4 linked regions of the Notamacropus eugenii genome follow. The protein of the gene in region 3 purifies or fractionates together with the protein of the main gene of each other region. This does not show direct contact. Links are inferred from orthologs where the notes say so. Each region holds a gene or a part of one and is shown on either strand. Other genes may lie near its edges. The genes, in order: PHF8, PKMYT1, CCNA2 and SCAPER.

The links.
Region 1: the proteins of CCNA2 (region 3) and PHF8 purify together in Homo sapiens (affinity purification with mass spectrometry; 3 studies listed by BioGRID and IntAct, counting the BioPlex papers as one, with this or other methods). This does not show direct contact. The link is inferred for Notamacropus eugenii from reciprocal best matches to the Homo sapiens genes CCNA2 and PHF8.
Region 2: the proteins of CCNA2 (region 3) and PKMYT1 purify together in Homo sapiens (affinity purification with mass spectrometry; 3 studies listed by BioGRID and IntAct, counting the BioPlex papers as one, with this or other methods). This does not show direct contact. The link is inferred for Notamacropus eugenii from reciprocal best matches to the Homo sapiens genes CCNA2 and PKMYT1.
Region 4: the proteins of CCNA2 (region 3) and SCAPER purify together in Homo sapiens (affinity purification with mass spectrometry; 3 studies listed by BioGRID and IntAct, counting the BioPlex papers as one, with this or other methods). This does not show direct contact. The link is inferred for Notamacropus eugenii from reciprocal best matches to the Homo sapiens genes CCNA2 and SCAPER.

What each region holds. Positions count from the first base shown.
Region 1 is NC_092879.1:102,520,981-102,527,966, reverse strand, and holds the start of PHF8 (histone lysine demethylase PHF8), read left to right. Parts: upstream 1-3,984; coding exon 3,985-4,178; intron 4,179-6,986. UniProt on the Homo sapiens protein: Histone lysine demethylase with selectivity for the di- and monomethyl states that plays a key role cell cycle progression, rDNA transcription and brain development.
Region 2 is NC_092872.1:56,510,809-56,517,759, reverse strand, and holds the start of PKMYT1 (membrane-associated tyrosine- and threonine-specific cdc2-inhibitory kinase), read left to right. Parts: upstream 1-3,951; 5' UTR 3,952-4,176; exon of another isoform or gene 4,177-4,253; intron 4,254-4,861; exon of another isoform or gene 4,862-5,018; intron 5,019-5,817; 5' UTR 5,818-5,834; coding exon 5,835-6,185; intron 6,186-6,951. UniProt on the Homo sapiens protein: Acts as a negative regulator of entry into mitosis (G2 to M transition) by phosphorylation of the CDK1 kinase specifically when CDK1 is complexed to cyclins. Mediates phosphorylation of CDK1 predominantly on 'Thr-14'. Also involved in Golgi fragmentation.
Region 3 is NC_092878.1:162,622,722-162,629,618, reverse strand, and holds the start of CCNA2 (cyclin-A2), read right to left. Parts: upstream 3,025-6,897; 5' UTR 2,800-3,024; coding exon 2,593-2,799; intron 2,281-2,592; coding exon 2,031-2,280; intron 642-2,030; coding exon 526-641; intron 433-525; coding exon 209-432; intron 1-208. Other genes in the region: BBSome complex member BBS7, read right to left, coding at 4,668-4,801. UniProt on the Homo sapiens protein: Cyclin which controls both the G1/S and the G2/M transition phases of the cell cycle. Functions through the formation of specific serine/threonine protein kinase holoenzyme complexes with the cyclin-dependent protein kinases CDK1 or CDK2.
Region 4 is NC_092872.1:256,637,511-256,644,463, reverse strand, and holds the start of SCAPER (S phase cyclin A-associated protein in the endoplasmic reticulum), read left to right. Parts: upstream 1-3,936; 5' UTR 3,937-4,028; intron 4,029-6,953. UniProt on the Homo sapiens protein: CCNA2/CDK2 regulatory protein that transiently maintains CCNA2 in the cytoplasm.

The sequences.
Region 1 (6,986 bases), on a different chromosome or scaffold from region 3:
TCTTTGAAAAAGGTTTTGGAGGAGCTATGACTTAATTCTCAGTGGAGAGAGTATCCATACTGAAGAAACCATGGCTACTGTCAACTCTCAAGTGTTTCCCTCTGTTCATGGCAGCACTGGATTGTAGCTGCCCTGTTTCCAAAGCATCTGCAACTGCAACCCTAGGAGTACAATTTCTTAGCCTTTGTGTCTTTTCACGGTTCTGCAGATGGAGTGTCCAAGCTGCCAGAGCACATCATGAGTCAGCTCCAGCCTCAGGTAAACAGCCAGCCCAGAGACAGCAGCCAAGTAGCAGGAGAGGCTCCATCTGACTACAGAAGCTGAGATGAAGAGGCCTTTCCTCATTCCAGGCTGTAAGAATGGTCCCAGTCACCCTTTTGCTCTGGCCTATGGACCTGGGTTTGAAACAAGCCCAAGGTGGTCCCACAAGTGCTGTCAGAGATTCTTCCTCCATTGGCAGTAGTTCCAGTTTGGAATTTCTTGTCTCCCCAGGAGCTTTCTTCTGTTTAATAGGCATGACACCCAGTTAGGGTTATCCAAATAGATGTTCTCAATCCTGATTTCAGCCAGTTTTTCACTTGCTTCTCTCCTGGCCTCTAACTCAGGCAGTCAGATAGCTATGTGGTTTTGGTGGGGGGTTGGGTCAGTGATGATTAAAATTTGGTTTTTTACATTTGTGCAAAAGACAAAAGGTCTCGGTACTCATACTAGGGGATTCAAGTGAATCTGACAACTTTGGGGCAGATATTCCTGCCTCTGAATTGATGTATTACCTGTACAATGGAAAGACTGGAGAACTTCCCCAGAAGTAGGGTACAAAGGGATAGATTAAAATTGGACTAAAAAATTAATAAAAATAATAAAATTGGACTGTGGGTGTATGTGAGTATGTATCTGCATGTGTGACTGAGTGCCTTTCTGGTTACATCCAATCTTGTACATAGGAGGCCATGTATATCTACACACATGCCTTTTATCTAGAGCCCCAGAGCTCTCCCTTCTCTCACATGTTTCCCAGAAATGCTTATACTGTTACAGAGAGGTAGGGTTCACAAGAAACCCTGCTAAGGCTTAGTCCATCCCCTATATCCTTCCCTCCAAGCTACATGGAAAATGCTGTTCCATCCAAAGACTGTTCTGATAGGTATTTCTCAAGAGAGAAACACTGACATTGGAGCAAGCTTCTAGTACATGAAGATCGCTTGGAGGATGGACATTTCTTCCTGGGGTCCCAGAGGTTGGGGAGAGGGGAGGGCTTGGAGAATCAGCCAGTTGGCCAGGGCTGAGATAGGTTACTGCCTCAAGTTTGTGGATTGATGGGGACCACTGAACTAGCACCAGGAGCAAGGAGCTATTTGTTCACTGACACTGTACCACTTCAGTCTTTTCATTAGTGTTTGGCTCCAGGAATTCTAACGTGGGCCCTAGGAAGAGGGTCTGGTGGTCAGTCCAAGTGCCAGCTCCTTGAATGATAACTGCCCCACTTTGATGGACGTCTGTGGGCAGCTTTGTTTTTCTGGATGAGGCTCAGTTTAGCTCTCAGGCCCCGAAGGAGAGGCTTTTGACACTTGAGTGATCTCATGTTTCTTTTTTCAGTGATCCAATCTCCTGGCTGGTCACAGCCTCCCTAAGTAACACATTCCCCTCTAGTGTGCCAAATGACTAGCTTCTTCTAAGAGGGATGTTTCTTTCTCATTGCCTGCCTTCCCCCTTTCACTGAATACTGAAGCCTGCCCCCCCGCCCCCCAGCTCTTTGGTGATTGCTTGTTTGCTACTTCTAGCCACTTAGGAAATGTTGCAAACCATTTCAAACCTGTCTTTTTGCCTTGGACAGTCAGCTTTGTCCTCTCAGTGGAATTGATTGGAATTGATAAGGGACCAGGAGGAAGTTGCCCATAGTGCACTCTGTGCTGAGAAGGCTCCTGATCTGGAAGAAAGCCATGAGGTTCCCACCTGCTGCTTTCTTGGCCAACTTTCTGCCATTGCGACTTCCCTGGGGACTTGGAGTTCCTGCTTCCCTTTATCTTGCTCTTTGTTTTTTAGATATTGAAAAACAGGGTACAAATAAGACTGAGGAACACTCACACTGCTGACCAGGAAGGGGCTCCTTGACATGTGAGAAGCCCTGGAGAGGGGGGTTTCAGGGGGACTAGCTCTTGACTGGGAAATGAGGGGTTTTTGCTGCATTGTGGAGGTGGTGAGGTTTCTCTTGATCTTTAGCTAGCAGGAATCACAGTAGAGCTTTAAAAACCCTGACCTGCTGAAAGACAGGAAAGACTCTGCTAAGTGTGGAGTTATGTACTTCCTTTTGAGGGAAATGTCAAGTTACTGATGTCTAAAGCTCCACAAACCTAGTGGGAATCTAGTCAACTGTTTGGCCAAAGAATGCCATAAGCCCAGCTTCAAAGCTCAGGGATGCCCAGTTTCCTGACAGATGTCACTTTGTCCAGCTGGAGCTTTTTCTAAATGTGGAGGATTGGGATACTAGGTTTACTTGCATCTCTCTGTAATAATGAATCAGGCTAAGAGGTAGAGAGAGCTTGACTCATCCTTGGCAGGGTGGCATTTTCATGCTGTGGCAAGACCTTGTTCATTTCCTGTGCCAAGTTTTTTTTGGTTATGGAGTTCTTTCCCAGGGTGAACAGTGCAAGAGCGCACACACACACACACACGCGCGCGCGCACACACACACACTTTTAGATTGTTCAGGCCTGTATGAAGCCTGGTACTCTGAACCCTTCAGTGGGCCGAGCCCCGCGTGCCCCGGCACCAGACTTCTGGTGGCATTATCGCCATCTTTGGTGTCTGCCGCCCAGATTGGGTCCCAGTGACAAAGGCCGAGGGGGGCGGGGAAGGAGGAAGAAGCCCCAGAGGCAGGTGACAGCAATTGGCCTCTCGTTGCGCGGCCTTCCGTTCCGTTTCACGCGCAATGACCACCTGGTTTGTTCCTCTTTCTCCCAGAGCTCTTTGCGGCCTCGGTTGGTGGAACGGCCACAGTTCTAGATGGCTGGGCTCGTGAGAATGCGCTGGTCCCCACTGCCCCGCCCCCCGCCCCGCCCCCTGCTCGGCCTCGGGATGCTCAGAACGCTCCGGCTGCTGCGCCCTTTAAGAAACGTTTAGTCTTTTAGGAAAAGTCTCAATTCCCAAGGGTCTGCCTTTGCTTCTCTCCGGCACTCCGTCGGCCCCGCCTCGGGGAGCAGTCGGGGTCAGTGCCTGGGGAAGGGCGGGGCGGGGAGCCCAGTCCACGCCGGGGGGGCGGGGGCGGGGCGAGCTGCGCCTGCGCTAGCCGGCGCTCCGGAGGTGCGGACCTTTCCGCCACGCCCCTGATGGCGCAGGCCGGATTGATTCACGCCTCGCTCAACATGGCGTCTTGTAGCATCCCTCGCGCGGCCGTCCCCTCCTCTCTCGCTCCCACCTCCTGAAGATTTTGAATAAAGTTTATTGGGCGACACGCACCAGCCCGGCCTCCGTTCCGCGGCGGCAAGAAGTGGGAGCCGAAGGGCCGAGGCGGAGGCATCGGCGGCCAGGGGGCGGGGCTAGATCCGGAAGCTGGTCCGAGGCCCCGCCCTCCTGGGAGGAGGGGCTGGAAGGGGGCGGGACCTGAGGGCGGGGCGGCCGCCGCCGTGGTCCTCTTCGCCGCCGCCGCCGCTGCCGTGATCGTGGCCGCCGTCCTGGTCGTGGTCGCCGTCCTCGTCGTGGTGGTCGCGGTCGCCGCCGCCGCGCGTGACCGAGCCGGAAGGCCGCCGGGGAGTCAGGCCCGGCTCCGTCGTCGACGTGACGTAACGTGACGTCGCCCAGCGGGGGGCGGGGAGAGCGCCCGTGCCCGCGCTCGCGCCCGCGCTCGTGCTCGCTACTCGCCCCCCGCGCTGCGACTGCTCCCACCGCCGCTGCCGCCGCCGCTCCAGCCGCTGTCGTCCGCAGCCCGGCTCCCGGGCCCGGCTCCGCCGCCCGCCCGTCCCCCCCGGGCCCCAGGCCGCGCCGCCCATGTCCGCGCCGCCGGCCTCCGGCGGCCAGCCCTGCCCCCCGCGGGGGGCGCGGGCCCAGGAGCGGGCTGAGGCGCGGGCCCAGGCGCGGGCCAAGATGGCTTCCCCGCCGGTCTACTGCCTGTGCCGGCTGCCCTACGACGTGACCCGCTTCATGATCGAGTGCGACCTGTGCCAGGACTGGTTCCACGGCAGGTGAGCGCCCCCCCCCCCCCCCCCGCGCCCTCCCCTTCTCCCGGCCTTCCTACCCTGGGGGGCCTCCCTCCGCTGGGCACCTGTTGCCCTTGTTGCCCGGTGGGGGCGGGGCCCAGGGCACAGATGCCCCGTCATTGTCTTTCCCAGTGAGGGCTCCCCACGGAGTACCCTCCAGTCCTTGGGGCCAGCATCCATTGAGCACCTGCTGTGTGCTCGGCTCTGGGCTCCAGGATAACTTGTAAACAAGACCGATGCCGGATGAATGGAGAATGGGATCGGAGCCGAGCCTGATGAAGGGGAGCGCCCCGGAGAATCAGAGGAGCGGGGGGCCAGGACTTGGGAAGGACTTGGAACCCCAAAACAGAGCGTTTGCCAGAGGCCATAGGGAGCCGCTGGAATGGAGGGGTGGGGGACATGGTCAGAACCACTTTAGGAAGATTGCTTTGGTGGCTGAATGAACTTAGGTGGGGAGAGACCCGCCATGGTCCAGGCCTGTACCAGGGTCGGGGGCAGGGGCAGAGGAGACAGTGGATATGGTGGTGAGAGAAGTCTGGGACAAGACCTGGGTCATCAGCCTGGGGCATGAGAGGGTGGCATTGATCTCTACAGTAGTAGGGGAGGATGGGGTTCGCAAACACCCTATAGGCTAACTCCAACATTGTGGTGTAACATGTTGGTCTTCTACAAAAACAAGGACAAACACCAACGGCTGGGAAGGTAGGAGATGGGGAAAGGTTGAGGGGGAAAGATGGTGAGTTCTGTTTTAGACTTGTGGAGTTTCAGGCGCCCACTGGACATCCAATTGGAGAGGTTTGGGAGGCAGATGGAGATGCTAGGAGGTCAGCAGGGAGGCTGGGGCAGGAAAGGGAGATGGGAGAATCCTCTGCCTCCAGAGAGATGGTCTTTCAATCTAGGGGGAGACGGAGGCCACAGAGGAGTCAAAATGAGAAGAGACTTTTGGATCTGACAACTAAGAGATCACTGGCAACTTTAGAACAGTTAACAGTGAAACAATGTAGTTGAAAGCTGGGTTATAAAAGGTCAAGAAGATAGTGTGAGGATACAAAGTAGAGGCAGCTATTGTGAGTTTGAGGAGTTCTGAAAAAATAGTGGATATGTGAGAGATAGAGGGAAGGAGCCAGGAGATAGGGAGTGCTTGAAGATGTGAAGGGAGCAGGGCTGACAGAGAGGTGCCACACTGGAAGGGGAGGGCCGGGTCTTGGTAAGGACTAAGGCCACCTCTTTGTGTGAGACAGGTGAGGGAGGCTGTGGGGCAGAGGGCACCTGAGGGATAGGAGATGGGGAGAAGGTGCAGCTCTCAGTGAGTGACCCCAATTGATTCTGTAAGCTATGAGGCATGGTTTTCAGCTGCAGGAGGGGGATAAGGGGATAGGAAATGGGAGGTTTCAGGAGGGAGGAAAAGGTTTTGGGACCAGTGAGTGAGGCCCATATGGTAGGACTGCCTAACAGCAGTGAGAGCTCAGGTGACATGTAACAGTCTGACCCAGTCAGAACAGTAACTCAGTTTTCCCCACCTTCATGCAGCAGCCCCTGTGGAGGGAACGGACAGCAAGAGTGATCCAAGGCCAAGGGAGGGCTGAGCATGATGGGTAATATAAAGGGGTGAGAGATTTGAGAGAGGAGAATCTCCAGAGTTGGACTGGATTATCAAGGGATCATGATGGGGAAAGGAGATTGTGGCCAGTGCAGTGGACATGGCCCAGGAGAGAGCAAAATTCAAAAGAAGGTGCTTCTCAAAGGGCCAACCTGGAAAAAGGCCGGGGAAGAGTGCTGCATTTAACTCCTACACAGGGATCCATTTGTGGTGGTGGTTCTGCAGTTGTTTTCAGTCAGACCTGAGTCTTCATGACCTCATTGGCAGAGATACTGCACTAGTTTGCCATTTCCTTCACCACCTCATTTTACAGAAGAGGAAACTGAGGCAAACAGGGTGACTTGCCCAGGGTCACCCAACTAGGAAGTGTCCGAGGCCAGATTTGAACTCAGGAAGATGAGTCTCCCTGACTCCAGACCTGACAATTTATGCTCTATGGTGCCACCCAGCTGCCTAATCTATTTTTAGCTGACCCTTGAAACACCTGGGGACCATTGCTGTGAATCTAGAATGATAAAATGATTCGGGCAGAGCCATTAAAAGCTGGGTGCTGGCCTTCAGGGGAAGCCTGATAGGGCCCAACTCCCCCTCCCCCATGTGACTCCCCACTTAAGCACAGTGCTGGCCCCCACACTTCAGTGGTATGTCCTTGAAGAGGGCCTTTCCACCTACTTTTCTCTGCAACCTTCAAACTGCCCCATCATAGCCCTTGGGGCAGATGTGCTCAAGCCTTTCATGTCGGTTTTCTGCAGGCCCCTTCTGGTCCTGGAGCCAACATCCCCACTAGGAGCCAGGGGGCAGCTAGACAGCTGGGGGCAGCTCACCTAGGCCCCCCCAGCTGCTGTGATTGCCCAAAGGGTCATTCAGAAGGTGATGCCCAATGGGTCTGGTTCATTTCTGGCTGCTGCTGGTGCCATACCTTGACTCTTCTGTGTCTATCTTGACCAGAGGGGCTTCCCTCCCCCAGCTTAGCATTTCTGGTGGAGATGAGGGAATTTCTAGGACTCTGGCAGTTGTCCTCCATAGAGAGAATCTCTTCCTCTTCACCATCTCCCTCAAGTGTGTATGTGCCTGGTGGCCCTGACTCTGCTTCTTTGGCCATCTTGCCAGCACTTTGAATGGAGGCTGGGTCCTATTTGACCTGAGTAGGAACTGTAAAGGGGAGATTCCCTGCAGGCAAGTGATTGAAGGGA
Region 2 (6,951 bases), on a different chromosome or scaffold from region 3:
AAGGTAGGTAGGGTAGAGAGTACTCCACCTATAAAGGGGGTGCTGAAACATGTCTAATCCCCACATATGAAAAGAACTGTCAGATATAGTAGGCTTCCTCCTCTTTATGTAATACAGAGCCACATGCCCTTCTTCCTTGGCCTAGGTTCCTTTCAATTTGGTTGAGGGCTTAATGATGCAAAACTATGTGTACATAATGTTTCAAAAGTCTATTTTAGAACTTCAGCTTGTATTTTACCCCTACTCAGATGTTTAAGCTTTGGGAAAATCTCCAAATTTAGCTCATGTCTTGTTTCCCATTACTAATTTTATCTCTTTGTGTGATCCAAAGACAAAAAATACTCAAATTATAGTTTAAGTATATTTACTGAAAGATAAAATACAGTAATGAGATTTCCCAGATAGCTGCTCCATTTCCCCAATAAAAAGCATACCATTTCTTTAGTAACTCCTGTGCTGTAACCCATTAATAGTTTGAATTTTCCCTGTTCACAGTAAAAGTCTGAAGGGGAAGATGAACCGAATCAGCTCAGCAAAATCTGCTTCAGCTTCCATCGCCAGCAATCACAAACTCAAGATGCAGGCATGCCACCCCGTCAATAGAGCTTCCCAGGCTGTTGTCATTACTTGGCCCTCGGTGACCAATTTACTTATTTGACTCGGCTTCAGCAGGTCTCTCTCCAAAGTTCTTAGGCTCTAGAGAGAGTCTGCTACCACTCAAGATAAGTCCCTCTCAAGTTGTTTCATTGGTACTCTGCTGTGACTGTCCTTATAGTTCTTCATGGCTTTCTTACTAAGCAATTTGTCTTTTAGAAGTGGCTCATTTCAGGTGACAAGTCACTATATTCTCATTCTGCTTCTGTAGTGCACAGTTCTGAAGGTAAGGGGAAGAACTGGGGAAGTGGAAGGAAAGATCGAACCTTGTAAATATTGATAACATCCCAAAGGGCAATTGACAAGCTGGAGAAAGATGACTAGAATGATGATGAGAATAGAAACCATGACACATGAAGCTAGTTGAAGAAAACAAGCTTAGCTGGCTTATTTTGTAGAGGAAACTTTTTGGGGTACAAGTTGGACTAGATGTAACCCCAGGTCACTTTCAGTTCTTCCTGTTAATGAAAGATACCAGTACTTAAAGGGCATTCATGGGGATCAAAGATTAGACTTCTACTTGGCTCCAGAGGGCAGAAATAAATACACTATGACCAGGTGGGATTTATGCCAGGAATGCAGGACTGGCTCAATATTAGGAAAACTATGAGAATAACTGACCATATCAATACCACAATTAAGAGAAATCACATGATTATCTCAATCGATGCCAGAAAAAGCTTTTGACAAAAAACAGCACCCACTCCTATTAAAAACACTAGAGAGCACAGGAATAAATGGAGTTTTCCTTAAAATGATTAGCATCCATCTCAAACCATCAGCAGCAAGCATTATACATAATGAGGATAAGCTAGAAGTATTTCCAATAAGATGAGGAGTGAAACAAGGATATCCATTATCACCACTGTTATTCAATAATTGTATTAGAAATGTTAGCTTTAGCAATAAGGTAAGGAAAATAAATTGAAAGAATTAAAATAGGCAATGAGGAAACAAAGCTATCACTCTTTGCACTCTTTGCAGATGATATGATAGTGTACTTAGAGAATCCTAGAGAATCAATTAAAAAACTACTTGAAATAATTAACAACTTTAGCAAAATTGCATGATATAAAATATACCCAAATAAATCACTGGCATTTCTATATATTACCAACATGACCCAGCAGCAAGAGATGGAGAAATTCCATTTAAATAACTGTAGACAATATAAAATATTTGGAAGTCTACCTGACAAGAAAAATCCAGGAACTATATGAACATGAAGGGCAGAAATAGGAGCAATAGGGTGGAGGTTGAAGAGTGGAAGATTTAAGTTTGGTATTAAAAAAACTTCTTAACAATTAAACCTACACAAAATGGGAAATAGGGTGCCTTAGGGTGGGTGGAGGAGTAAGGAGTCCCCCTCTCTGGAAGTCTTCAAGGAGAGTCTGGATAATAATAATTAATAAGCTATTAAAGCTTTAATTACTTAAAGCTGCATGAGGACTTTTGGGGATACCCTTTATAATATCATTGGGGCAGCTAGGTGATGAAGCGGATATAGTATCAAGGTCTGGAGTCCAGATAGCTTCCTGAGTTGAAAATCTGGCCTTAGTAGCTGTGCGACTGTGGGCAAGTCACTTAACCCTGCTTGCCTCAGTTTCTTCATCTGTAAAATGAGCTGGAGAAGGAAATGGCAAACCACTCCACTATCTTTGCCGTAAAAGCCCCAAATGGGGTCATGAAGTCAAACAAGAATGAAAAGCAACTCAACAATTACAGTATCTTTAAAGTATACAAATTACATGTGTGTGTACATACGCATGTATGTATGTATACACACATATACAATTTCATTTGAGCTTCACAGTAACCCAGTGAGTACTGCAAGCATGATTAAATCCTTTCACAGATTGAAAACTTGTACTTAGAAAAGGTAAATAATTTGCTCATGATGACACAGTGTTAGCTGAGGTGATAGATTTGAAGCCTTACTTCCTCATACTCTAAACCCATTTTATACACACTGTGCCAGGTCAGATGACTGCTTTTGCTTGTTATATTGCAGAAGGCATGGTCATCTGGACATAAGTTTGATTAGATGACTTTTGAGGTCTCTTCTAATTCTGAGCTTCTGTGATTCTTGGGCACGAGAGGAGACAAGACAGAGGCGAAGGACAGGTAATGACCGACCTATCTTGGGGTGCCACAGAGAAGTCCTTTGTCTTTCCTTTTCAATGCAGCCTACCATCACTGATTGTCCCATTGACATCTCTGGATCTTTTTGCATTTCTTCCTGTGTGACCCTTCTTTAAGTATGAATGTCCCCATTCCCAAAATGAGGTCGGTTGGCTTAGATCATTAAGATAACCGATTACAGATCATTGATAAACTGAAAAGTATCCAGAGGAGGGCCACTGGGACTATGCAGAGCCTGAAACAACGCCCTATGAAGACTGGTTGAAGGAATTAGGAATGTCAAGCCTGGAGAAGAATTCCAGGAGAAAAGGATACATGTGTTCAAGTATTTGAAGGCTGCCATGTGGAAGACAGAGATTAGATATATTGTTTGGTCCTAGAAGGGCATTTACAGTATGCCAGGCCTCTAGTTAAGTGGTTTACAAATATTACTGGGAGGGAGGTGATATTATTGTCCCCATTTTACAGATGAGGGAACCGAGGCAAACAGAGGTTAAGTGACTTGCCCAAGGTCACACGGCTAGTAAGTGTCTGAGGCCGGACTTGACCTCGGGAAGATGAATGTTCCTCCAACTCCATCCACTGGCCTACCTAGCTGCCTCTGGCCAGGAGGGTGGGACTGGGAACAATGGGATGGAAGGTGCAAAGAGCCAGATTCAAGCTTGATGTCAGGTCAAACTTCTTAATGCTTACAGAGATGTTCCCCTCGGGATACAGCTGGCTCCCCTTCATCCTAGGTCTTCAAGTACAGCCCGGATGACCACTGCTCAGGTTCTGTGGAGATTCTCTTTCCCGTGTGGACTGGACTGGATAGCAAGCTTTTACATCCCAGGATTCCTTCCGGCTCAGACTTTCGGGAGTTCTCGCCCGGGAGAGGGAGGCTGCGGGACAGCCACGTGCAGCGTCCAGCCAAGTACCTGCGGAGCTGGTTCCACGGTGGGTGGGGCCGGGAGGGGCGGGGCTTCTCAGCTGGAAGGCCCGCCCCGCGGCTTCACTGACGTCGCCCAGGGAGCGAGTAGGCGGGGCCTAGCGCCTCACCCGGCTACGTGTGGAGATACGTGATGGGGACGGGCTAGAAGCGGCGCCACTTATTGGTGAATCCATCATGAGGAGGCGGGGCTAAAGGCATTCCTGGGCGGAGCCCACGAGACTCATTTGGAATTTTTGGCGCGAGAAGGCGCCGCGCGCGCGCATGGGACCCTTCCAGTTCCACCGACCCCTCCGCGCGCTGGAGTCTTTGGAACCGGCCGACGTCTGGACCCTCCCCTCCCCTGCCTTGTCCCTCCTCCCTCCCCCACTGCGCGGGACCCTGAAGGCTGGCCCCGTGCCGAACCGGCTCATCCGGGGCACCCGGAGCAGGAGCCCGAGCCCCACCTGGTGGTGAGCGTCTGACCCCTGACCCTGAGGAGACCCCTGACCTTCGGTAACAGCCCCAGCCCTGGCCTCCCGAGCTCCAGGTACCGCGGGCTCGCCCCTCTCAGAGCCCGCCCTCAGCCCCTCCTTCAGAGCCTAGTCCCCTCGCTGACAACCCTGGCCATCCGGTCTTCCCTCTGCCCCGCCCCCCAAGCCCCTTCCCCTCCTAGATCGCTCTTCGTCCCCCAGTCTCCCGGCCCCGCCCCTCCCTGGCTGCTCTTCCTCCCTCGGCCCCTCCTCTTCCCTTCCCTCTCTTGAGCAGCCCTCCTTCGGGGGCCCCCAACCCTTCCCTGGCCCGACAGCCTCTCCCCTTCTCCTCCTACTCGGCCCCTGCCCTGCCCTTCACTCCCTGACGGACCATCCCTTGGTCTTACCCTCCCCTCCCCACACTCCTCCCTCCTCCTGCTTCCTCCTCCTCTGGCCGCCCTTCCCCTTCCAGGATCTTTCCTTGACCCGAGCCCCTTTTTCCCACCCTGGGTAACAGGCACCCTGTTCCCTTCCGTTCTCACTCTCCTCCTTCGTGGACCCCGAAACTCAGTCTCCTCGTTTCCAGTAGCAGCTTCCCTGGCCCCCGCACTCCTTTCCAGTAGTAACCCTGGGCCCCCGAATGACGGGCATTCCCGCCTCCCGCCCCGGCAGCCGATGCACCAAACCCGGCCCGTTTTGTGAACTCTTGTTGTTTTCTGAGGAATGTGTCCCCTGTAGCCACCTCCTTTTGGCTGGACGTGTGTAGCATTTGGTTTGCCAGGATGTCCAAGGTCTAGAAGGGACACAGGAGGAGTGTGGTGGAGTCCGGCTCCTTTGACATGGTAGCCAGGGAGCTGGGACTTGTAATTCCTAGAGGAGAGGAGGGAGTGACTGGTTCTGAAGCCGTTCTGAGCAGGCCTAACTGAGGGTTATCCTGTGCTGTTTGGGCTTATTTTGTTGTGCCTGTGTGTTCTGGGAGGATTTCTTTCTTCAATGCAAGCTGCCCTGTCCTGTGATCCAGGCCTTCTGCTTGCTTTCAATTTAGCAAAACATTTACTCCAAGTAGTTACTATGTTCAAAAATTGGTCCTTGTCCTTGGGGATACAAAAAAGGTGGCTGACACATTCCAACAGAAGCTTGCAATCTGGTCAGGGGATAAGACACATACACAGATATCTATATGTTGGAATGTGATTAAGTGGATAGGAGGGGTCAGATAGAATGACAGGAGAGATTTAGGGTAGGTTGCAATCATTTCTAGCTGGGAGATGGGGGAAATTATCATGAAGAAAAGGACCGCTTGAGTTGGGTCTTGAAAGAATGGAAGAATTTCCACATGTAGAGATGTGTAGAGGTTGCATTCTGAGGGATTGAGGGCAGCATGGGCTGAGGAGAATATATTGAATATAATAATATTGAAGAATGATGAATAGTCCAGGAATGTAGAATGCCAGAAGGGTTATATAATGAGAAATGACTGGAAATGTAAGTTGGTGCCAGATTGTGGAAAGTGTTGAGGGCTAAAATAATTTAATCCTAATTCTATAAACAATGAGAAGACTGAAGTTTTGTCATTTGTGAGCTATTTCTTATGACAATTTAACCTACTCTTAGTAGTTACTGACTTCCTTTGTTTTGTAGGGTCTCCTTTGCTGGTCATGCCAGTCCCAACAGAAGGGACCCCTCCACCCCTCAGTGGTACTCCTGTGCCTGTTCCTGCCTACTTTCGTCATGCTGAGCCTGGCTTCTCTCTTAAGAGGCCTGGGGGCCTGAACAGAAGCCTACCACCACGGCCTCCTGCCAAAGGGAGTGGTTCTGTTAGTCGCTTCTTTCCCCCTAGAACTCCAGGCTGGAGCCAGCCCAGACCCAGAGGAGTTTCATTTCGAGGTGGGCCCCCAGGAGCATTGCAGAGCCGTGGCTATGACCCAGACCGGCCTGAGTCTTTCTTTCAGCAGAGTTTCCAGAGACTTGGGCGATTGGGACGGGGTTCCTTTGGGGAAGTCTTCAAGGTGAGTGGAGAGATGGGGATTCCTTGGTCCCATAATTAAATTCCACCTCTTTTCTTCTGATCAGTTCTTTCAAGGAAGCCAGTTATGTCTCTACTTAGAGCCCCATCTCCTAATAAAGGTTCTAGCCTTGTGTTGCAGGTCTCAAAGTCTTCTGCTTGGAAATAGCTTTTTCAAATGAAATTGATACACTGTTCTTGATTTTGTATCCAGAGCTTTTTCCTTTTACTATGTTCAAAAATTTTCTAATGACCCAACTCCAATTGAAACTTAGTCCTGAGTTTCTGGAACTTCCTAATCCCTTCCCCTGTTTGGCTCTGGAAATTTAAAAATCTACTACATACACAGAGTCCCCAAACCACTTCCCCTTCTACTGATGTTCTGCTGATACCATATTTTGGTGCCCATTTCTGACACATACTTCCTTTTTTCCCTTCTCTCCCCTGTTTCCGCATATATCAAAACACAGAATCACATTTTTTAAAGGTTTATTTCAGAAGGACAAGTAAACATTCAAATTCAGAAATAATATGCTTAGAAGTATATGGAATTAACTTCATTTATTAAACACATACTGTATGCAAAGTAATGTGCTAGGCACTGAAGATTTAAAGATTAAAAAACAAACAGTTTCTGTCGTCAAAGATCTGACATTTTACTAGGGTGATATGACATGTACACAGTTAAGTAAAATATGATAGGGAGTGAAAGGGGCAAAGGAGAAATGAGACAAAATAGGAATATTCAAGGAGGGAGAGTACTAATAACT
Region 3 (6,897 bases):
TCTCCTCTAAGCCAGACCAACACACTAACATTTTGGAAAAAATGAAAAGTTCTTGCCAGCCCCGTCCCTGTCAGCAGCACAAGTCAGCCTGCTGGCCCGTACATGTAACACCGTCACGCCTGTTCTGCACACCCCTGCAAGCAGGCCTGGTTCCGGAGGTGACCAGTAAGTTGTTTAATCCTGCCTCCCACCCCAGGGGTTGACTTACGAGGCGAGGAGCATGGCAGCCGTCCCCACCAGCTGAAGCTTCCCCCGAAGCACAGACATGGAGGACAGGAACCTGTCAATGTAGTTCACAGCCAAGTGGAGAGTCTCGTTCTGGAGCTTGTACTCTTCCCCCACCTCCACCAGCCAGTCCACCAAAATGGCACGCATGCTGTTGGTGATGTCGGGCTGCTTCTTCATGTAGCCCACCTTGGGCTTACACTTAACCTGGTAAGAGAAGCCAGCAGCTGAGGGTCAGGGCAGCTGGACCCTGTGCGCTGTTCTGACTAGCAAGTCATCCCTTCACAAACTCAGTTTTACCTCCATCTCCCTAAGGTACAGATAGATGTCTTCATGGTAGTCAGGGACTTCATTGACATTTGGTGGCTTTTCCTCCGGTTCCAGCACCACTGACATGTCCATAGTAAGGGGAGATTCTGAGGAAATTTCAGAAGAGACAGAGCAAAGGTTCATTTTAAGTGTTTAAAGGGCAGAAAGTCAGGTGGTTGACCCCAGTCAACCCGTGACCCTGGTAAATGGAATTCATATAAATGCCATCAATCCTCTTTCTGGGCATCTCTAGTAATAACACCGACAACCTGGATTTCAATAGCGCTTTAGCTTTACCAAGGGCTTTCTTCACTTCAGTGAGAATCACCAACATTCCCATTCTCTGAACAAGGAAACTGAGGTTCACAAGTGAAGGCATGCAAGGTCATAGCACTAGCATAAAATCTTACAGACCCCAATGGAACGGACACTATCCTGCTTGGTGAGTGGTTTTTTTGGTTTTTTTTTAAGTTTTCAACATTCACTTCAGTAAGTTTTAAATTTTCTCTCCCTCGCTCCCCTCCCTCCTCCCCAAGACAGCTTGCAATCTGATATGGGCCCTATATATACATTCCTATTAAATATATTTTCACATTAGTCTTTTTGTGTAGAAGAATTAGAATGAATGGGAGAAACCATGAGAAAGAAAAAACAAAAACACAGTGGCTTGGTTTTGTAGTCTGACTTCACAGATCTTTCTCTGGTGTGGAGGGCATTTTCCATCGTGGGTCCTTTGGAAACGTTTTAGGGCCTGGCACTGCTGAGAAGGGCTGTCCATCAAGTCAGTCCCGGCACACGGCCGCTGTCCAGGAGTAATTCTGTCGGGCGGCGTAGCTGACTTCATAGGCAACAACAACAACTGCGCATTTAGGTGGCACCGCGTTAACCACGCTTCACAAACGCTGTCTCCTCCCGTACTCACAACAGCCCTGGGAGCCCCGTGTGGTGGTGATGCCCACCTCACAGCTGAAGACGCCGGAGCTGAGAAGCGAAATGACTTGCCCAGGGTGGCCGAAGGGGCCGGACTTGAACTCGGATCTTCTGCTGCCTCTAGCAATTCTACCGGCTGTATAGCCCTAAGTTCTGTGGGAGCCTCGGGGAAGCCCAGGTGGGAGGAGACCACCCTCCCTGCCCAAGCTCTCCTGTGCGCCCCACGTTTTGGGGGCACTCTGCGCAGCCTGAGCCATGGCAGGCTCCCAACCTCAGCAGGGTCTGGGAACAGACAACTTGGCTCCCAGGGCTGGGCAAGTCCGGCTCTGCCGGCCCCTCCGCGATGCCCACTGCCCCCGCTCCCTGCCCCGGCCCCTCCGGGGTGCCCACTGCCCCCGCTCCCGGCCCCGGCCCCGGCCCCTCCGGGGTGCCCACTGCCCCCGCTCCCGGCCCCGGCCCCTCCGGGGTGCCCACTGCCCCCGCTCCCGGCCCCGGCCCCTCCGGGGTGCCCGCTCCCTGGCCCGGCCCCTCCCCGGTGCCCACCCCACCCCACCCCGCGCCCTTACCGAAGCTGCCGTCCATGGGGTAGTCCAGGGGCACCAGGGGCCTGCGGGCGTCCTGCAGGGACGTGGCGGACTGCAAGGCCAGCGCCTGGTCCTCCAGGTCGTCCTTCCCGGGGCCGGCGGCCTTCTGGCCAGGGCCGGCCTGGGGCTCGTCCACGTGAATGGTGAAAGCGGGCTGCTTGCCGGGGGCGTTCCAGGGCGGGACGGGAGGCTGCTCATCCTGGAGCAGGACATCCCGGAGGGGCGCAGCCACCTGCAAAGGCGGGCGGGCGGGTGACGCCGAGCCCCGGGCACCCCGGGCACCCCGGCCGGCACGGGGCCCCACGCCCCGCGCTTGACAGCTGCCACTTCCTGGGGGGAGGGGAGGCGCCGCGCCGGCTCCCGCAGCGATCCCGCGCAAACGCCGGCACGCCCGAGGGCTCCGAGCTCTCCCGGGGGCCCCCACCCCCCCCGGAGCCCGCGCGCGCTCAGGTCCCGCCCGCGCAGGAACGCGGGGCCTCGGGGGTTCCGCCCGCACCGCCCCCCCCCCCCCCCCGGCCCGCGCCTACCCTGCCCCGCGCCTCACCCTGCGGCTCTTGGACTTCTGCGGGGCCAGGGCGGCCGCCGGCCCGAGGCCGGGGCCCGGGCCCGGGGCCCGCACGTTGGCCCGCAGCACGCCCAGCACGGTGCGCGTCCTGGCGGGCTCGGCGCCGCCGCGCTTGTCCGGGTGCACGTTCTCCTGGTTCTCGTCGGGGCCGGCGGCCCGGGGCCCCGCCGCCGTGTGGCCCAGCATGGCGGGGGGCCAGCCTGCCGGGCCCGGGCCCGCGCTCTCCGCTCCGCTCCGCTCCCCTCCGCTCCCTCCGGGCCCTCGGCGCACTCCGGGCCGGCCGCACCGCGCACCGACACGCGCTAGGCCCCGCGCGGCCGCAGCAGCTCCCGCCTCCAGCCGCTGCCCAGGCCGCGGCCCCGGGCTCTGCTCACCGCGGTTCAAGCGGCCCGCGACTATTGAAATGAGCCAATGGCAGCCGCGGGCGTCGCACGTCAGCGCGCACGCGGGCGGGGGGCGGGCGGAGGGAGGGGAGGGGGGGAGGGAGGGAGGGAGGATGGGGAGAGGGGGAGGGGAGAGGGGAGGGAGGGGAGGAGCTTCCGCCCTGCCCCGCCCCGGCCGCCCCCGGCTGGGGGGGGGGAATGGGGGGGTGCAGGGGCGGGGGAGGACTCTCCGCTGCGGGAGGGGCGCCGGGCACCGAGGCCGAGCCTTCTCCAGGCACGGGGTGGGGGCAGAGGAAGCCGCCCGAGGGGAGCCAGGGCAAGGGCAGCTCCGGGCAGGTGAGGACGGGAAAGCTGTCAGCAATGGCCCGGGAGGGCGCAGCCAGCCCCCTTCCAAGGAGGAATGCCAGCCTCTGAGCCCAGAACAGTTACCCCAGGGCCCCAGCCTGGCCCAGGATGCCTGCCCTCCCCCAAAGAAGCCACGTCTGCGGAACACGCGCCTGCCCCTTGCTGGGGGGCACCTTGGAGAGATTGGGGGCAGCCTAAGACGGCTGGCGGCCCCCACCCCCGCCCAGCGTCCTCCTCGTCTGCCAGGGATGCCCTCTGAAAATGCCTCCGCCCCCAGCAGACTCGAGGTCTTAAATGCCACTTTCAAATTTAAGTAAGCAAACAGGACGGAGGGCGGCCAACCCTGTTCCCAGTTAAATCATTCTCTCACTGTTCACACAAACAAAAATCCCATCCTGGAGAACAACCGTTTGTTTAGCCAGACTGTTATTTTTATTGATTCCTCATAAACTTAAATACGATGATGTTCACTGAAAAGGAATCTAATGTGATCCTACAGCGTATGTGTCCTTTATTCCTCAAAGACTAGAAAAGGGTACCTGGCCGATGACTGGCAAGAAGATTCCCTCCTTCCCTCACCTTTGCAGCATCACTCCGTACCTCCCCTATGGCTTGTGAGCCAAGTCACAGAGCCAGTCCTTGTTCTCCATGGCTGGGCACAGCCGGGGTGCCACCTCTCACATGGGGGCCATCAGACCCACCAGCTTTATTATTTAGCATAACCAGAGCCATTACTGAAACAATAATCAGAAGACCAAGGGCATTACCTATACAAAGAAATCATGGTGGATCTAACGGGAGACACGTGGATTAGGAGCCAGACACTAGCTATGGGATCTGGAACAAGTCCTGTAAAGTGAGACCGTGCCAGTTCTCAGAGTATATTCCCATGATACTAGATCTCTTTCTCTCATGGTGCCTGACTCAGTTCCCTCATTGTACAGTGAGGATAATAATAACGATCCATTGTACCTTCTGAGGATGTCATAAGGATCAGATGGGAATACACGTGAAAGCATGTTTGAAACCATGGAACCAACTCTCCTGCCATATTGGAATGTTATTACTTTCAAAACATCCATATTCAAAGAAGAGGACATCAGTAAGTAAGTCATCTTCACAACTCTCAAAATTAGCTTTTTTTTTTTGACAAAGTAAAAAAATTGTCATTTTTTTTTAACGAACCATCTCACCAAAAATACAATTTCCTGAAAATGTCAGGACGACATCCAGACGATCCATCTGCGATGGAGTCCAAACTGTGTAAACATGTCATCAATCTAATCTGGGACCCACTTGACATGCTGGGCCATTCCGATGCACAGTTTAAGCAGCATCAAAGAAAGCCATGAGGGCACTTTGGTCGTAACTGTCCAGAATCTCCAGCAGAAGAGGGACTTTGCTCTTCACATTGGTGCCTTTGAACTTGAACTTATCGATGAAGAGGTCAGTGATCATGCCTGAAAGAGGAATGCTCATGTTCAGCCATTAGCTTTCACGACCCAAGACAACACGTTTTCCTAGAGATGAATAAGCCACTCAAAATGGCCTTTTTAAGGATCCCTCACCTTTCTTATTTGTCCAGACTTGGGATTTCATCATTGAAATCACAGAAGAGTCAGTCACTGTTCTTAAAAATATTGAGTATAAGAAACCCAACTTGTAGGACAGAGGTCTCTAAAAATTTTATATTTAGTCACAGAGATGATTGATTGGGAGGCCACTGGAATTTCCCAAGCACGGGAGAGTGACATGGCCAGTGCTGCATTTTAGGAAGCTCACTGGGGGATGAATGGAGGAGACTTGAGGCAGGCAGTCCCACAAGAAGGCCACCAAAATAATCCAGAGGTGAGCTGAGAAGGGCCAGCCCCAGTGTGTGTGTGTGGGGGGGGGGGGGGGAGGGGGGAACAGCAGTATCAGAAGAGAAAGAGGAATAAGGGAGAGGATTGGATATAGGGACCTGAGGGAGTGAGGGTGACATGGAGGCTGGGAGCCTGGGTGACCTGAGAAAAGAGAAGGAAGGAGCAGGAACAGTGGGGAAAAGAAAGTGAGCTTGGTTTGGTACATGTTGAGTTGTTCAAGATGTCCAACAGGCAGTCGGTGGGGAGACACTGGAGGTGAGCAGAGAGGGTGGGCCTGGAGAGTCATCAGCACAGAGACACTGCTTCCACAGAGCTTGAGAGGCGACCAAGTGCAACAGTACAGAGGGAGAACAGGAGAGGGCTCAGGACAGAGGCCGGGATCTGGGGGAGATCTAGCAAAGGAGATGGAGCCAGGAAGAAGGAAAGCCAGGAGAGGAGACTGACAGCCTGCTCCATGAAGACTGAAGAAAGGCCATCAGATCTGACAGTCAGAGGGCTGGCAGTGACTCCAAACCAGCCACTGCCCTCAGCATCCTCACCCAGCCTCACCAGCGGCCTGGGTCCCAGGGCCCTGCCATCCAATTATCCTGTACCTGTTTTGTACAGACCTAAATCTGGGCACATTGTCCCCCAGGTGGAGCATTAAGGCCTCCAGGGCAGGGACTGCTCTGCTTCTGTCTCGGGTGGCCCAGCGCTGAGCACATGGCAGGTACACAAATGCTGGTTTCTTCTTACTTCCCAGCAACTGTCTGGGCCTAGCCCAACCCTGGGCCCGGGAGGCTCCCAGCAGCTGCTCACATGGGCCCATAGGCCCCTGGGCCTCTTGGACAGCTGCTGCTACCTCTTGGCCTGACTCAGCCCTGAGCTACTCTGCCACACTCATGTGGTCCCTGGTCTGGGCAGGCTGCTGTGACACCCCCAGCTCAGCCTCCACAGCTGCTCAGTCTTTGAAGAGAGGTGGGGACCGAATGGGGAACCCATACAGAGGAACCCCACTGTTCTAGAGTATCAAAGTTTCAGGGTCTAATTCACCGTTATAAGGACTTTAAAAAGGGGACAGAGACAAGCAATTGAATGGCTGCTTTGTTATACAACACTAACAGTGTTGTAGCCTAGTCAGGCTAACTTTTAAAAAATGGAGTTGACTAGTTATTTTGCCACAATGCAGACAACCCCTGACCTTAACCAGATCTCTAGATATACCACTGAAAACCCTGGTTCCCAGCTTGATTTGGTCAGGTTGCTGTTTTACTTTCTGGTTGCATTTAAACACCAGAAGGGAAGGGGCCACCTACTCCCTCTAGCTCTTTTCAGTGTCAAAGCAGCCTGTCCTCATGAGGGCCAGGACCAGGAGGCACAAAGAAGCGCTCACTGAGTGCCCCCTGTTCCAATCATTGTCAGGAGCCTGGGGATACGATGACAAGGCCAGCATCACCACGTCCTCCTCAGATCTGCTCATCATTCTACAGCCACAGGAAATGCTTTACCCAGGGCTAGGGATGGACTTGGTGTGATTTCATTGGCACAGGTAACTCCCAGGTGAGGAAATGCTCTCTACCAATGCAGGCCTCATCAGAAAGGTGCCTCAAGCACTGAAGAGTTAAGTGGCCTGCCCAGGATTCCATGGCAGGACTGGCACCCAGGTCTTCCTGGCTCTGGGGCTAGTTCTCAATCTGGTATGACATGCAATTGTC
Region 4 (6,953 bases), on a different chromosome or scaffold from region 3:
CTAGGAGAGAGAGTGGGGTAGAATAGTGGGCTGGCCTCAAAGTCCGGAAGACCCTAGGGAAGTCTCTTAAAACAATAAGTTATGGATCTGTATTGGTAGAGGGAGTTTCTATACAGAGTTACCTACATCAATGAAATATCATCATCATCACTACCACCATCATCATCATCACCACCACCAGCATCAGCATCATCACCATCATCATCATTTTAATCAGTACACAAGTACTCAAATCCATGTGGATTTTTTTCTCCATTGATGCTGATCACAGCCCCTCCATTTCTGCCCATGATGGGTGACACTTGTCCAAGTCATCTCGTAAGTCCAACAGGCTAGAAGCCTTCCTTGATTCCTGCTGACATTGACACAATACTCACAGAGCACTCAGGCTGTCTACCTGTCCTCTCCCTCTCACCTGATGACCAACTCATCATGCATTTCCCTGCTGATGCTCTACTGTGCAATTCTTTGTTGGGGACAAGTTGCAGGGTCTATGTTCCTACAGAAGTATAAATGTAAGGGGATCTAGCCAGATGCCTTTGGCCATTGCTGCTCCTGGTGGTGGTGATGCCCATGGTACCAGGTGTAAGAAAACGTATATAACATGGAGAAATGTCATGGTGTAGAATATAAAGGAGTATAGTTGACATCAAGAGAGATGTAGGTTTGCCTCCTGAACTAGACCTTCATTAACTTTATGAATTTGGCCAAATCACTTCACTCCCCCAAACCTCAGTTTCCTCATTTGCTTAAGGGGGAGAATTTGATCCCAGTTTCTCCTGTCTTCCAGTCTGGTACTCTAGCTACCATGTCACATTACCAGTTACCTTAGAGCTCAAATAATTGTAAAAGTTTTTATTGTGGAAGCTAACTAAAGTGCATCCCTGTTCTCTCTTTTATCCAAATATTAAGCACTTGCTATGTGCTGTGCACTGTGCTAAGTGCTTTACAATTATTACCTCATTTGATCCTCACAACAACCATATCTGTGGAAGGCGCTATTATGATCTCCATTGTATCAATGAGGAAAGTGAGGCAAACAGGGTTAAGTGACTTGCCCAAGGTCACACAGCTAATCAGTGTCTGAGGCTGAATTTGAAGTCAGGTCTTCCAGCACTGTATCCATTGGGTGACCTAGCTGCCACTATTACAATATCACAAGTATCACAATTATTGCAAATATTACAATATTACAAAATAATATCAGGACAGCACTTTAGTCTGAAGTCCTTAGTCTAATCTGAACAATGATGGGGTGATGGGACCTGGACCCTAGTCCCTGGCATCTCACCTAAGGCATATGTCTCACCCCATTCCACCATGATTCCTTAATGAGCTTATTTGATACTCCTTAATCCCATCTAGATCTTTTCACTGTTGCATCTGGCCCACCTCAGGCTATTTGCCACTCTTTAATCCCGTCCAAATCTTCTCAAGGTCTTTTTTGTATGTTAGTATCAGTCCCATCCTCATCAAATTTGCAGACTCATTAAGAATTTTGCCCACTTTTATCGATGATACAGTAGCAGATTTGCTAAGAATCTCACCTGCTCCTATTGGCGTTACAAATAAACCTTGCTACTTTGACTGAAAGAAGGCTTGTGTGCTTGAATTCTTTCCAGGCAGGATTTCCCCCCCATACCCTTACATTTTAGGGTTCCCAGCACCCCAAACTACAACAAACAATAAACCCTTCTAAGACTTTCTTTGACTTTGATGCCCAGTTTCCATATTGAAACCTTTTTACATCATTCCTATTACAGTTTCCAAATGAAGAACTGCTCCCTGAAGTGATGAGGGTAAAGATCAGACTAAAAGAAGGAAAACATCTGTGATTAATTCAGTTAACAGAAGTATCTCTTGAATTGCCTTTGACCAAGCTGAAAGAAGAAAGCTTGGAGGCAGTGATTAAAGACGGATTGAATGATTTTGGGAATCTGATTTTCCAGGGTACACCAAAAGTTATGACTGTTATTGTTTCAAAACTGTCACCTGAAATTCTACCTGAACACTGCAACTATATTTTGTTTGTTGTGGGATTATTTCTTTTGTTTGAGAATTTCAACTTTGCTCTTGAATCCTATAAATTGTATATAGAAAATGGCTTGTGAGGGAAAAATTTTTAAAGGCAGGACTGATTTCTATCCCTTTGTCTTTTTTGCTCTCTAAGCAGAGAAACTTTGAATTTACTTAATTAAAAATGTGTTTCTGGTAGTTTGTATCTCAGACATAAAGTAGAGAATTTTCTTCCACCCCAGATATTTGGGTCTGGGGACTCAAGCCACGGTGGATAATTGTGTTTTTCAAATCCTCCACATCAAACGCACTCATCCACAGAAGCATGAAAAGTAGGTCCTTACCCAAGGACAGATCAACATTAATGATTCTTTTGGTACTAATTTTAGTAGTACTAATTTACTCTATTTTAAAGGTCCATCTCTTTAGGGATGAAATGTCTGTTCTGGGATGTTGGTGATGATCTCAGATTCAGGAATGCAGTAGACTTAAGCCTAAAAGCTACTCTCATCTCCTTTTCAGATGTTTCCTATCCACCAAGGCTTTCCATTTATCACCAGCTTTGCATTATAGCTCCAGAATTTTGTTACAGTCACTTCCAGATGCAAATTGAGCTTTTGTTAACCCATCAGATTTTTGCTTTACTGAAACAGCCTAATTGTGCTTTTCCTTCTCCAACACTGTGGCCTCTACAAGAAGGGTTCAGGTTTTTTCCTGGAGAAGCAAATCTAGAGAAGAAATGTTTTAAAAGAAGTTTATAACAGGAAAGCTCTCATATACTTCCAAATATTTTTACTACCTTTCTTTGGTGTGTATTAGAAAAGAATGAAAAACAAAGTGGATTCCTTTCCTTTGGGAAAGGGCTAAACAGTTTTGGTAACATGAATGTAACAATATTATGATGTATATGAAGAATTCAGAGAAGCATGAGAAGACTTATATGAACTAATAGAGAATGAAGCAATTGGGTTCCCTCCTGACTGGTAAAAATAAACATATTTTATATACCGAGATGAAACAAGAGCCCAAGAGACAAGTGTTTTGGGATAATTAATAGTCAATTTACTAATTAGGCTAGCAAATAACCAATAAATTAATGGCCAGTGGTTTCCCTCAGTTGTTGCTGTGTGCGTCCTTCCTTGCCCAAGAAGACCACGCCTTCAGAGAAGCAATGACGTGACTTGAAATTGACTTTGTTCTGAGGGAGGGAGGGCTGGGCAGCTCACCGGCCTCACTTCTCCTCCAGGGCCCTCTGGATCCAGTGACCAGATATCCATCAGGATGACTGCAGATGGCCCAGGGTGCACTGGGAGCCCTTTAGGCCAAGGTCTTTGCAGTACTCACTCAGGTGAGGTGACTCCAGTTGGCTAAATACGTACATACATACATCCACGCAGGCTCTACGCAGCCTCCGGGCATGTATTTGTCCCATGCTCCATCAGCGCTGACCTCCCAGAGCTCTCGGCAGAAGCCTAGGCTGCTGAGCTCAGCGCACACGAGGAAGCATCCCGTCTGTCCGCGGCCGTGTGGAAGCGCGAGCGTCTTTCTTCGTGTGCCCGACCCTTAGCAGAGAGCCTGCTGCCGTCACTTGACGGGATCTCCTTCTTTAAACTGTCTCTCCTAATTCCGGGCTCCCTGCTGGGCCCCTTCGCGCTTGGCCCGGCACGTGTTTCAGTCTCGGCACGGGGAGGGGGAGGGAAAGGCGCGAAGCTCCGGAGCCCGGACGGACCCCAAGCCCAGCCCAAGGCTCCCCGGCGCAGGCTCACGTTCGCTCCGCCCCTCCCCCGGTGCCCGCCACGCGAGCCGGCCCCGGAGACTCGGGCGCAGCAGGCCACCGCGCCTGCGCACTGCAACCACATCACGTGAGCACGCCGGGAGGCCCCGCCTTCTCCCCGCCCCTCCCCTCCCCTCCCTGTCCTCGCCCCGCCCCCATCCCGGCGGGACGCTCGGAGGCGGCCCCGGACGTTCAGCCTGGCTGGAAGTCAGGCGGGCGGGCGGTCGGCGGGCCGGGGGTGAGTGTCCCGCGGGGGCGCGCGGGCCAGGGAGGGGCGCGGGATGGAGGGTCGTGGGGCTGGGGGGCCGCGGGGCGGGGCAGGCGGCTGGTGACAGCCTCCCGCGGCTGAGGGGACAAGATGGCGGCGAGATGCTCCCCTCCCCCCGGACCCGCCCCCGCCGCCGGCCGGGCTCCGCTCCCGAGACCCCCGGGCCGATGCCGAGGGGGGAGTGGCGGACGGGGGAGAGAAAGGGAGGCATGGAGGGAGGGGTCACTCTGCGCCCCCCAGCCCCGCCCGAGGGGATGCCCCCTCCCCGAGCAGGGGAGGGGGCGGGGGCGCGCTGCTGTCAGTGCCACGTGTATGCCCCTGCGCCTCCTGGAGGTCCGAGCCCCGGGCGGGGGGCGGCCTGGCCGACGCCCCGGACCCCTCCTCGCCGCCGGAGGTTTGCATGCCCCCTCCCCCGTCACCCCGGAGATAGCCGAGCGCCGTCGGCCCCATTTTACAGATGAGAAAACTGAGGCAGGTAGCGGCGAAGTGACTTGCCCAGGGTCCCACGGCTAGGCCGCGTCCGAGGCTGGATTTGAACTCGAGTCCCCGTGGCCCCAGGTCGGCTCTCTCTTCACCCACAAAGACCTAAGCCACACGTGGGTTCTCAGTGTTTGCCTCCCCTGTGCCCGGCCGGGTGCTTTGCACACCCTAGGTGCTTAATAAGTGCTCGTGGAACAGGGGAATCCCTGTGATGGCCTCGTAAGATGGGGAGCCCATTCCCCGCCCCCAGAGGTGAATTGGGGTGTGACTGGCTCAAGGCTGCCCCATGGGCCCCCTCTCCTGGATGCTTTGTATGACCCTTGCCCTGACCTGCCCTGGGCTGCCCTGTGTATCCAGGAAGGGGGGGAGGTCCAGCTGGACCCAGATGACCAGAGCCAAGCAGGGCCTGTCTGTGTGTCCCACCGAGTCTGAAGTGAGGGGCCGGCTAGGCCGGAGTCCAGCTCCCTGTCCGGGCCTGGTGACCCTTCTAACCCTCCTGCGGGGATTCTGCACAAATAACTCCGTAGTGGTGAAGAATTCGAGCTTTCTTCCCCGACAGCTATCAGGAAGTGGGCATGTGCTTGTGTATTTTAATATTCATTGATTTATTTTTAACTAATTGAGGTCATCATCCCGAACCTCTTTTTGCATTACTTAACCTAATTTTCCTCAGCTATAAAATAGGGTTCCTAATAGTACCTGCCTCCCAGGTTGTTATGAGTCAAATGAAAGAAGATTAACAAATTGCTTAGTACAGTGCAGGTCACATAGTAGGTGCTTAATAAATGCTTGTTCCTTCCTTCCTTCCTGCCCACCCACAAATACTGAAGAAATCCTGTAATCCTGTAGGAAACAGCTTTGAAAATGATTGAAGGAACTGATTTGTTGAAAATGTTTTCCTGTGTGACATGATAAGCTGAAAAAACTCCCTCTCCACCTGTCCAATAAAAAACCATTTGCTTTAAGCTCTGTTAAAATGAGTAGAAAGGAGTAAGTTTTTCAAGCTTACTTTTGACCAATATTAGGAGAGTTCATTTACCACACGTTTTCAAGCATCTGTACTCCTATGTGCAAGGCATCGTGAGATGTTTTTTAGGCATTCTTTCATATCACTGGACACAGTGGCAAACACATAATAGGGACTTATTAAATACTTGCTGATTGTTCCACTTAAAGCAGCCTGCAAGGAGTCCTCCACCAAGTTTATCATTGTGGTAGGATCCTGAGTTCCCTTTGGTCTCTTGACAGCAGAATGTAAAGTCTGTTAGGTCCTTCCAAGGTGGCAGATCTGGTGATGCACTGTTGTCTGAGGACTGGTCTAGTGAAGTCTGGAGAAGTCTGTCATCCTAGTGTTGACCATGGGGTCATGAAGATCATCTGCTAGTATATTCTGCTATCTGGATGAAGTCACGGCTCTTTTGAAGTGTTCAGGGGATAATCATAAAGTAACAGAACTAAACAACTCTCTCTCATCAGGCTGATTGAAGTGCCTGAAAATAGAAAGCCAGCCCTTGCCTGGACCAGTTCTCTCTACTCCCATCGTTGAGCTTTGAGCATTGATTAGAGTGCCTTTTGTGCCTCCATGGACACCCCTCCCCAAGACAGTCAACAGGCATTATAAGTGACACTGTTCCCAGACCCTGAGCTGCCCATGCCAAGATTGGGCAGCACGGACCTGTCTCCAAAGAGCTTTTACATTTTTAAAATAAATTTTTATTGATATCTTTTGTTTTTAGTTACCTACAAATTCCATTCTTTTCCTAGAGAACAGTCTCATAACACAGAATAGAAAGATGGAAAGAAAAGCAAACACCAGATAAGCACAACCAACCACTATATAAAAATGCATGGTGTATGCAGTATTCCACCCCAGTAGTCTCTCCCACTTGTGCAAAGCAGACACAGGGGAACTGCTGCCTTCTTCCTTCTCTTTGGCACCAAGCTTGATTGTAATAATTTAAGAACATTGGAGCTTTTAACTGGAGAAGTGACTTTCCTTCTGCTGAAGTCTTTTAGGATTTTGCACCTTTCCCATTTTCATCTTTTCATATTTTATTTTTGTGTATGTGTCTTATCTTCCTTCATAACAACAACAACACATCTCCAGTAACTTATATTTAAGCAGTGATGTAAGGTTTGCTAACTCATTAAACATTTATTTAGTGCCTGCTGTGTGCCAGGCTTTGTGCTAAGCACTAGGGGTGCAAAGAAATATTAATGATGGTGCCTACTCTTGTCTGATGTGAGAGATGCCATTCAAACAGCTATGTGCAAAAAAAACATAGAAGGATAAATGGGCAGTGATCAACCAAGGGAAGACACTGGAGTTAAGAGGTATTAGTAAAGGCTTCCTATAGAAGGCAAGAATTCAGCTGAAATTTGAAGGAAACCAGGGAAGCCTGGAGGGAGTGGAGA